Linked DNA regions of Arabidopsis thaliana. The protein of the gene in region 2 interacts with the protein of the main gene of each other region in a biochemical or structural test. Each region holds a gene or a part of one and is shown on either strand. Other genes may lie near its edges.

Evidence for each region. The genes of interacting proteins can lie anywhere in the genome.
Region 1: the proteins of RHA2A (region 2) and NAC019 form a complex in vitro, tested with the Arabidopsis thaliana proteins (one study listed by BioGRID).

The regions. Positions count from the first base shown.
Region 1 is NC_003070.9:19,695,814-19,700,513, forward strand, and holds NAC019 (NAC domain containing protein 19), read right to left. Parts: upstream 2,670-4,700; 5' UTR 2,632-2,669; coding exon 2,451-2,631; intron 2,354-2,450; coding exon 2,085-2,353; intron 1,983-2,084; coding exon 1,479-1,982; 3' UTR 1,110-1,478; downstream 1-1,109. UniProt on the Arabidopsis thaliana protein: Transcription factors that bind specifically to the 5'-CATGTG-3' motif.
Region 2 is NC_003070.9:5,192,059-5,196,167, forward strand, and holds RHA2A (RING-H2 finger A2A), read right to left. Parts: upstream 2,157-4,109; 5' UTR 2,113-2,156; coding exon 1,645-2,112; 3' UTR 1,226-1,644; downstream 1-1,225. Other genes in the region: AT1G15085 (uncharacterized protein), read left to right, coding at 161-205, 297-353, 719-796. UniProt on the Arabidopsis thaliana protein: E3 ubiquitin-protein ligase involved in the positive regulation of abscisic acid (ABA) signaling and responses to salt and osmotic stresses during seed germination and early seedling development.

The DNA.
Region 1 (4,700 bases), about 15 Mb from region 2:
CAAATAGATGGAAAATTAATATTTGGGCATTTGGCCCATGGGCCAATCAATACACTAGTTTGCTATTGGAATTTTACATTCCACAAATCTGAGTATCTAAATTTTTAATGGAACTTGTAAATACAAAATAAATACAATTGTTGTGTGTTTTTAATTATGATGCATGTATGTCATGTTATTCGACTAATAGAGAACGAACCAAGTGAAGGTCATGTAGATGTTTGTAAAAAAATCCGTTCATTCGACCATTTTCCGGGTGTCGTTTACCTCTCACATCAACAAAATCAACAAGGTCTAAGGAAAGACAAATATGAGTTTCTCCTCCCGAAGATTTCCCACACTCAAATAATGATATTATCAGTATGAGTGCATGACTCGACGGAAGAAGACTAGTTTATTAGAGGAGAAAAAAACAGAGATAATTAATTTTTGGGCTTTCGTCAAGACGATCCACTTTGTTATTTGGTAAATATCAGAAAATAGACATATCTCAAAGGATGGTCAAAGCTTCTGAAAAGCAGTAATGGTCATGGAGGATACAGAAAAAGGAAGGAGATAGAATTATATTGTATGATCAGCGAACCACATATATTCAGTAACAATGTGGCTAATGTGTACTAGAGATTGTGTTAACGCGCACTCTAAATCAAAATAAGAACATCTCGAATAGTTTAAAACCCTTTTTGAGTATTCTCATCCTCTTTTGAACTAAATGGTTATTTTTGGTACTTTCAATTCTTTATTTCGTTATTTTAATGTTTTGAAAACTCTTTATTAGAGATGTTCTTAAACTTTTACATGATTCATGTCAGAAATTAAATTTAAACTATTAGGTCGGATTTTCCTAGGTACAGTTAAAAAATCGAGTATTCCGTGTTTTACTCTTATCATTCATACCCTAATTGCAAACGCATTTAGTCGACCCACAATAAACATGTGTTTGAAACTTGTACGGTATAAACTGTTTCTCTACAATCTCTTGTCAAGATGGTCAAACAAGCAAGCCCACGTTACACACCTAAGTTCAGCTAACCCAACGCTCCTTTTTCAAATACAGTATATACAGTAAGTCTCTCAATTTGTGGTGTGTTACTATATATTCGTAAACAGAAAAGATTTGTATGTAGGTTTATGATTACATAACGTATGCTTATATTAAAAATGCATGAGATAGTTAAATATATTCTTTTGGATAGCTCAAACAATTAAACTTACATGTATAGCTAGCCACAACTAAACAATATATCAATATGCAATTTCAATCCACTAAATTTATACCAATACAAAGATAACCAAACAGCAACAAAATAAAGTTACGAAATCTATTCGTCAAATTTTCTATGCATGAAAGATTACAAATCTACATCTAAATCTATGAGTCTCCCTCTTAACCCAAAAGAATTGAAATTCAAATACATATAAGATTTGCCACGGGACAAAAATTAACGACTTATTTTTATTGCGTCAGCATTTCATCATCACATAAACCCAAACCCACCAACTTGCCCCGAATACCCAAACGAGTCAACACCATAACCCTTTTGAGCTAACTCGCCCGAGTTATTAAACCCGTGACTGCTCTCGACTTCCTCCTCCGTCTTCAGGTAGCCACAGTTGTACTCGAGATTAGGAACAACATGACTCATTCCGAGTTCCGGTACCGAGTTATTATGCTCAACATTACCGGCAAAACTAGCCCAATCGAAGTTAGAAGTATCCGCAAGACCGTGGAACCCGGTTTTCTGTTCGGTTAAGTCCGGTCTGAGCGACGAGATGCGGTTTGGGTTAGAAAACTGGAAATTTCTGTTGTCGATCTCTTGATGAAACGAATCAAGAACGTCTTCAAAGTGAGAAGAAGACGACGTCGTGGACGAAGTACCGTTGTTGCTGAATTCTCTAGCATTCGCGATTCCATTATCGTAAACTTGTTTTTGTGCACTTGATTGCTTCTTGTATATTCGACATAGAACCCAATCATCCAACTAAAGAAAATTAACAAGAATATTAATTATAGGTCATTCAAAACACTACAAGAAGAAAATATAAGATATAGTATTTATTAATGTTTAGATTTTATTTGTTACCTTAGTGCTTCCGTTTCTACGAGAAGGTTCAATGAGACGATACTCATGCATGATCCAATTGGTTTTAGTACCTTTAGGAGCTTTTCCGATGTAAAACACCAAAGCTTTTTTAATACCAACTCTTTGTCCTTCCGTCGAGATTATTTTATCCGTACCCGTAGCTTTCCAATAACCCGATCCGGCAACCCGGTTAGGTCTTGACCCGTTTGGATATTTTCTATCCCTAGGACTAAAAAAATACCATTCTTTTTCTCCAAATAATGCTTTATCTATAAATCACAAAAGAAGAAAAACCAAGAAAATTATGAATCTCTGTTAAGAAAAATAAACATTTTTTGAGAAGGGTTTCAATTAGTATATACTTACTTGGTAAAACCCATGGATCGAATTTGTAAAGATCTATTTCGGCGATGAGCTGAAGAGAGAAATCGTAACCAGCTGCTTTTCTACAGAGATATTGAACCATAAGCTCTTCATCGGTCGGGTAAAATCGGAAACCCGGTGGTAAACTCAATTGCGTTAACGGGTCAGTTTCTTGGATACCCATATTTTTTTCTTTCTTTCTTATTTTTGACAATAATGTTTGGGTCTCGTGCTACTTATATATGGACGCAGTGTATAGGTGAATCCACCGCCGCTGATTAACGTGTGTACTGAATATGGGACCCATTTTTGTGTTTATCTATAAACACTTTTGAATTCTGACACGTGTGTCAGTTAGATCGTCGTGATTTATGCAATCCCTTGAGTTCATTGAACCTACATGAGTAGATTTAGCTCTTCCTCGTACTATTTTTTTTAAATGGTTTTTTTTATTAACATTTGTTTATTCATCTATTTATCAATAATGTTCCGCTAAATTTAAAAGTATTTTCCAATCAAAATAAGATTCAAATGAATGTTTGGAAATTTGCTGCTTAGACATTTGGAGTTCACATATAATATTTAATTTAATCGAGATTTTTTTCCTAGGATTGTCTATTTAATTATTTAAGTAATGTAAAACAAATTAAAAAAATGATTTTCGATTTTCCTTTTAGGATTTTTTTTTTTTTTTTAAGGATATTTTTTATTTACAAAGTTTATTGTCAATATAGTAACCAGACGACATCTAAACCACAAAACATTATTGACTTTATCTTGGTCGATTTAATCAACATTGAACCGTCCATGTACTTTTTGGTGGTCTATATATTCGTGTAGGGGACTGAATTTCAGAATAAAGGAACAATTATTTGGCCAAATTTGTACCCAAAAAAAAAAAGATTTTTTGGCGAAATGATTGAACAGTAACCATGAAATATGTGAACTGGTAAAGGAAGAGATATTTTATTTCACGTGTTTTTTGTTGACGGGTTTTCTGAAATGTATATGTGCCAAATGTTGTAATAAGAAGGACACGCGTAATGTTGTGGTAGGGTAAGGGAAAGAGCTTCGAAAAAAGCGAAGTTGAAAGGACAAAGGAACTGTTCAATGTATCTTAGGTTACAACATGGAAAGCGTTTTCCATACGGACAAAACTACATCATGACGACACGTGTCCACGTGTCTATCGTAGAAGTTAGGCGCAATTTGTCATTTGTCAAAAAGACGTTATAACGATGGGAGAAGAGAAAAAACACGAGTTGATGTTGACTAAAGATTTTTTCAATTTATTTTTGTTTTCAGAAACATTAACAAACACAACTCGTAGTAGCTGCTTCAAAGCTTCATAGTATCTTTTTTAAAAAAAATATAGGGTAAAAAACTTCATAGTTTCTTTTTTTTTTTTGTGAAAAAAAAACTTCATAGTTTCATCATTTAGTTCCATGGTTTTTAAAAGATAGAACCATATATAATGGTCGCAATTTTTGTTTAATTTAGAAATTGGGTGTTATAGTATAAAAATCCATATTGTTCGCTCGGAATATGCTGTTTTGAGTTGGAAAGTGAAGTATATAATTGACTAATTGAGCATGTTTAGAACACCTAAATTCCACTTATAACCATTAGATCACATAGATACCACGATTTGGATAAAATCCTTGTTGGATAATGTATAAATTAATATTTTTATCTACATTTTTAGTGTCGGTTTCACCAATATGTCTAACTAATTTAAGGACTTAGCAAAATTATTTGTTGAGTTTTATGTAAATCCACCATAGATAAAACATCTTAACCGAAAAATAAGTAATCCACATCAAGTTTGCATATAATATAATCGAAATTGAAATTAGCTATAGACCCTATACATATATTCAGATTTTGTTTTATAAGATCACGTATTGATGTAATTTTTTTTGTCTGTATTTATCCATTGATTAGTTTTCATGCAGTTGTGGTATTTCATAAATGAAAAAAATTTACGAATGAATTTTTCTTGAAATTTATATTATAATATAATCTAACCCTAGAACATTTTACTGAAATCATTAAATTTTTTATGAAAGTTTAAGCATACATATATATGACATTTTTTTTTTTGATGAAGTGAAGTGAGGAAGAGGACATCATTTCAAAAGATTAGACGGAGTCACAGAGACGAGATATCAAATATATCACTATATTATGATCGTTATCTAATTCTATAGTGGAACTTAAAGATTTAGGGTTTCTTTCACTCAATAGTTTTCG
Region 2 (4,109 bases):
ATTTACTTAAAAAAAAAAAAAGGGACATAACCTCCTTGACCCTTTATATAAGACCCACTCATCATTCATACTTTTGCACATTGCCTACTATATCAATCTTCTTCTTCTTCTTTAATTTGCTGCTTTTATATAACCAAGTCTTTGCTTTTAGAGGTCAGCTATGGTGTCTACAGAAGAAGACGAAGATCGGAGAAAAAGGATGGAAGTTGTTTCATTTATTATGAAACAATGATGACAGCATTTTGTGGATGGTTTAGAGAAAGATGAGCTTTGCAATAGTTTACGCTCTTTCATAGAAATGTAAGTCTGGGGAGAGCGAGATTATTGCATTGCTTGCTGCTGGGGAATCGAAGGTTACTGGTCCGATTTTTTTTCCTTACCCGAAAAAAATCAATCTTATATCTCTTAGTTGTTTGTTTGTGTTCATTAGTCTACGATTATTTTCATATTCATGTTTATGAAATGAAGAGTGTCCTTGTGGTGATGGTATTATCAACTACTATATAACAAAAGTTACATTTCAAATAAAGAAGACACTGTAGTATCATTATTAACATCAAATGGATTATTATGAGTTGCATCTTGAGGAATTGAACTGCTTATATTTAGTTGTGACTCATTTCCCATTTAATTCACCTAAAGAACTCTCATACAACGTTTTGAGTTGGTAAACTAAGCTAAGAAAAGCAGAAAATCAACTTTATGTATATGTATGTAGAAAAATGTTGAAGATACATTAGTACATTTTGTTGTGGAATTAGAAAAGGCTCGTCATTCGGAGCCAAAACAAGGCTAATCTATAATGTTAACGGGGCCTATTCAGTTTGGAGATATAATTATTTCTAAGCCCATCTTGTTTGTTATCGTGACAAATTAATAAGCCCACAAAGTTCTCTAAAGGTAAAAGAGAGATGGTCCAAAAAATTTATACAAATGGAAAAAATTACATATGAAAAACATTGCAAACTGAAATTGGAATATAAACCTTCTCCACTCCTTCAATTTGTAAAAGAAGTGGATGGGATTCAATTTCTTAGGGATGAATCTTCAACTAAAAAATCACTCATGGTTCAAAAAAGTTCAATAATAATGATTGTCCTCACTGGTTCGTCTGTACAATAAAGACGTATAAAACATGAATCTGTTTAAAAAAAAACATGAATCTGATATAGAAAAAGTGTGTTAACACTGTTGTCCAACGACCATCCTTAATTACACATGTTATTATTACATACTGAGAGGTGTTGTAATCAAGGCCAGATACGTCTACAAATCTACCAATTCCTTTTCTTATCTTTTTCACAGGAACAAAAACATAACCAAAATTCACAGTGTTGATGAATTGAGTTTGCAAGATTTTTCAAATTATACTGGAATTGATATCTTCTCCATTTATATATACTCAACAGCAAGGAACAACAAAGATACAAACGGTGAAAATTTGTATATTCAAAATTTACATATTCCAAATCGAAAAGTAAAAAAAAAAACCAAACAAACAAAAGGTTCTCCTCTCACAGAAGAAAGAGACCTCAAAAAAAATCCGAGAAAAGAAGGGGCGCACGCGCGTGGTCAAACCGAACCAGCCAGCCACCGTAGATCTCTCAGATACCATCGGATCTTCTTCATCTTCCGATCTTTTACTCAGTGGAGAGAGAAACACGAGATCAAATCCCTCCCAACGCTACGCTGCGTTTTAGAGACGCAATCATCGGAAACCAAAGCAGATCTACAAAGAGGACAAGTGAAATTGAATTGATGAAGCCATCCTTCCAAACACTTCTTGTGGAACACGTGTCGACATTCCAGCTTCCTCACCTCTTCACCTTCCTTTAACTTCGACAAACACACAACACAATCGGAGCCGCCACCACCTCCGTCACCGCACCGGTACGAGAATAACCGATTCAAACTAAGCTGATCGGCGAGAACGATTATGTTGGCTAGTCCCGATGCTATAGAGACATCGTCTACGGGGAGATTAGGATTTGATTTAGAGGTGAGACGGAGGAGGAAAGATCGGAGATGGTTGATGAAGACGGCGAGGAGAGAGAGGAGCATAAGAGGGATTGAATCGGAAGAGACGTCACTTAGCTGACCTTGTAGCCCCATCTTTCTTCTTCTTCTTCTTCTTCTTCTTCTTCTTCTTCTTCTTCTCTCTCTGTTTTCTATATATATAGCTGTCTTTGCTTAACCTATACACATTATTGTGTTCCTTTACTTTCACCTTTTATTAATTTCATTACTAAACTGTCAATTAGACTTTTAATTTTGGTTTATTACTAAAGGAAATTAATTATTTAAGATACTTTTCCATACAATTTAATTTAAAATATATAAAGTGGATGTATAGTTGATTTTTTATTTTATTTCAAGCTATATTATGGTACGAAATCATTATTATGTTGCATATATTAATCGATTTGGTATATTTTTTTACAAAATACAGAAGAATACAAAGATTTTTATTATTATTTTGACCACCTATTTTTGTCAATTTTTATTACCAGTCTGACGATTATGTAATTTAGATCAAATGAAGTTAGTAGTAATAAATACCAAATCTTTTTATACACGTGATCTGGTATTTTACAGATCTGATTTTATATTACAAACCAAACGTCACTTATTTCTCTCTCTTTTTTAATTCAGACCCCTCCATTTTGCCGTCTATGCCCACAATTCCCCGTTAGTTTTCACTTTCAGTGTCTTTCTTTTGTGGTATTTTTTGCAAAACCCAAAATTAAACATGAAACTAAAATTATTTAAAATTTATTTTAAGTAGAGAAATATTTGAGATATTTAATATATAATATTAAGTTAACTTTTGTGTACACATGCATTGTTTACCTTTTATTATTTTATGAAAATGGACCAAATTTATAATAGCTTAAGATGAATATTTTTTCTTATTGAAAAACAATTTGTTGATCTGATGATGAAGATTTTGCACGATCCTCGCTAACTTGTTGTCTCACCACCTTCCATATTTTATATGTTTCGGACCCCCCAATAATCATGTCATATCTACGGTTTCTACCTTATTAAAATATACTCCAAAATTTTAAAATAAGATAGCAAGCAACTACTTAAACAGCGGACTAAACAACATCAGAATTTTCGGGAATATTATTTGTAAATTGGTTAAAGCATAAGCTACAAATTTTCTTATATATCATTTATTTGGGGAAATGGTTAAATTTTTATTTTCAAAATTAGTATTTCTATCTTTTACCAACTAATAAAATGGTATATTGGTATATATTCTTGTTTTTTTTAGAGGTCACAATAAAATAAGTGAAACGTGCGCATCTACAGTAATTTGAATCGAACATTACTTTTAATGTACATGATGAATAACAAAGGATAAACATGACCATCATGAAGGAAACATAAACGAAAGAGTGAAGGATAAGTAACATTTAGTCAGTATTATAAAAATGGTAAACGGCGCTGTCAACGTATTAATTTTGCATAATATATAATGATAAGTTTGGGTTTATACTTATATTTAAATAGAGAAAGTGGGAGAAAAGAAGTCTCTATTTCGCCGTCCAAAAGATATGAGAATCCACCGACTGATAAAAAAAAACAAAACAAGTTGGGATTAAGAAAGTTGATTAACACATTAATTAAGCAAAGACCAAAACCATTACCACTGATATAATATGAAATTGCCGTGGAATTTTTAAAATAGAAGAAATAAATGTCCAAAAAGGGAAGGCGTAAAAGTGATTGACGAAAAGGATGTGTTGTCCTCTATATCATAATTAGCAAGAGTTTCAATTAATTGGTGATTACCAACTCCAATTAGATGATGAGCATTGTGTGGTGACAAAACAAAGTAAAAGCAAAGAGCATCCATTACCGGGAGAGACCATTCATTTTAAGCCATCATGTGGCCAAAGGGAGACCACACAACACAATTTTAAAATAATGGTGCAGCAGAAAGTCAAGTCGCTGTCATAGACTCATAGTTGAAGCAATCAGACTAATCTCTGTTGGATCTTATTGGGCCTAATAAATCTACTGTATGGGCTTGACCATTTTTTTGTTAGCAGTACTCCAGGCCTAATTTGTTATCAATGACCATTTATGTTCATGATTGT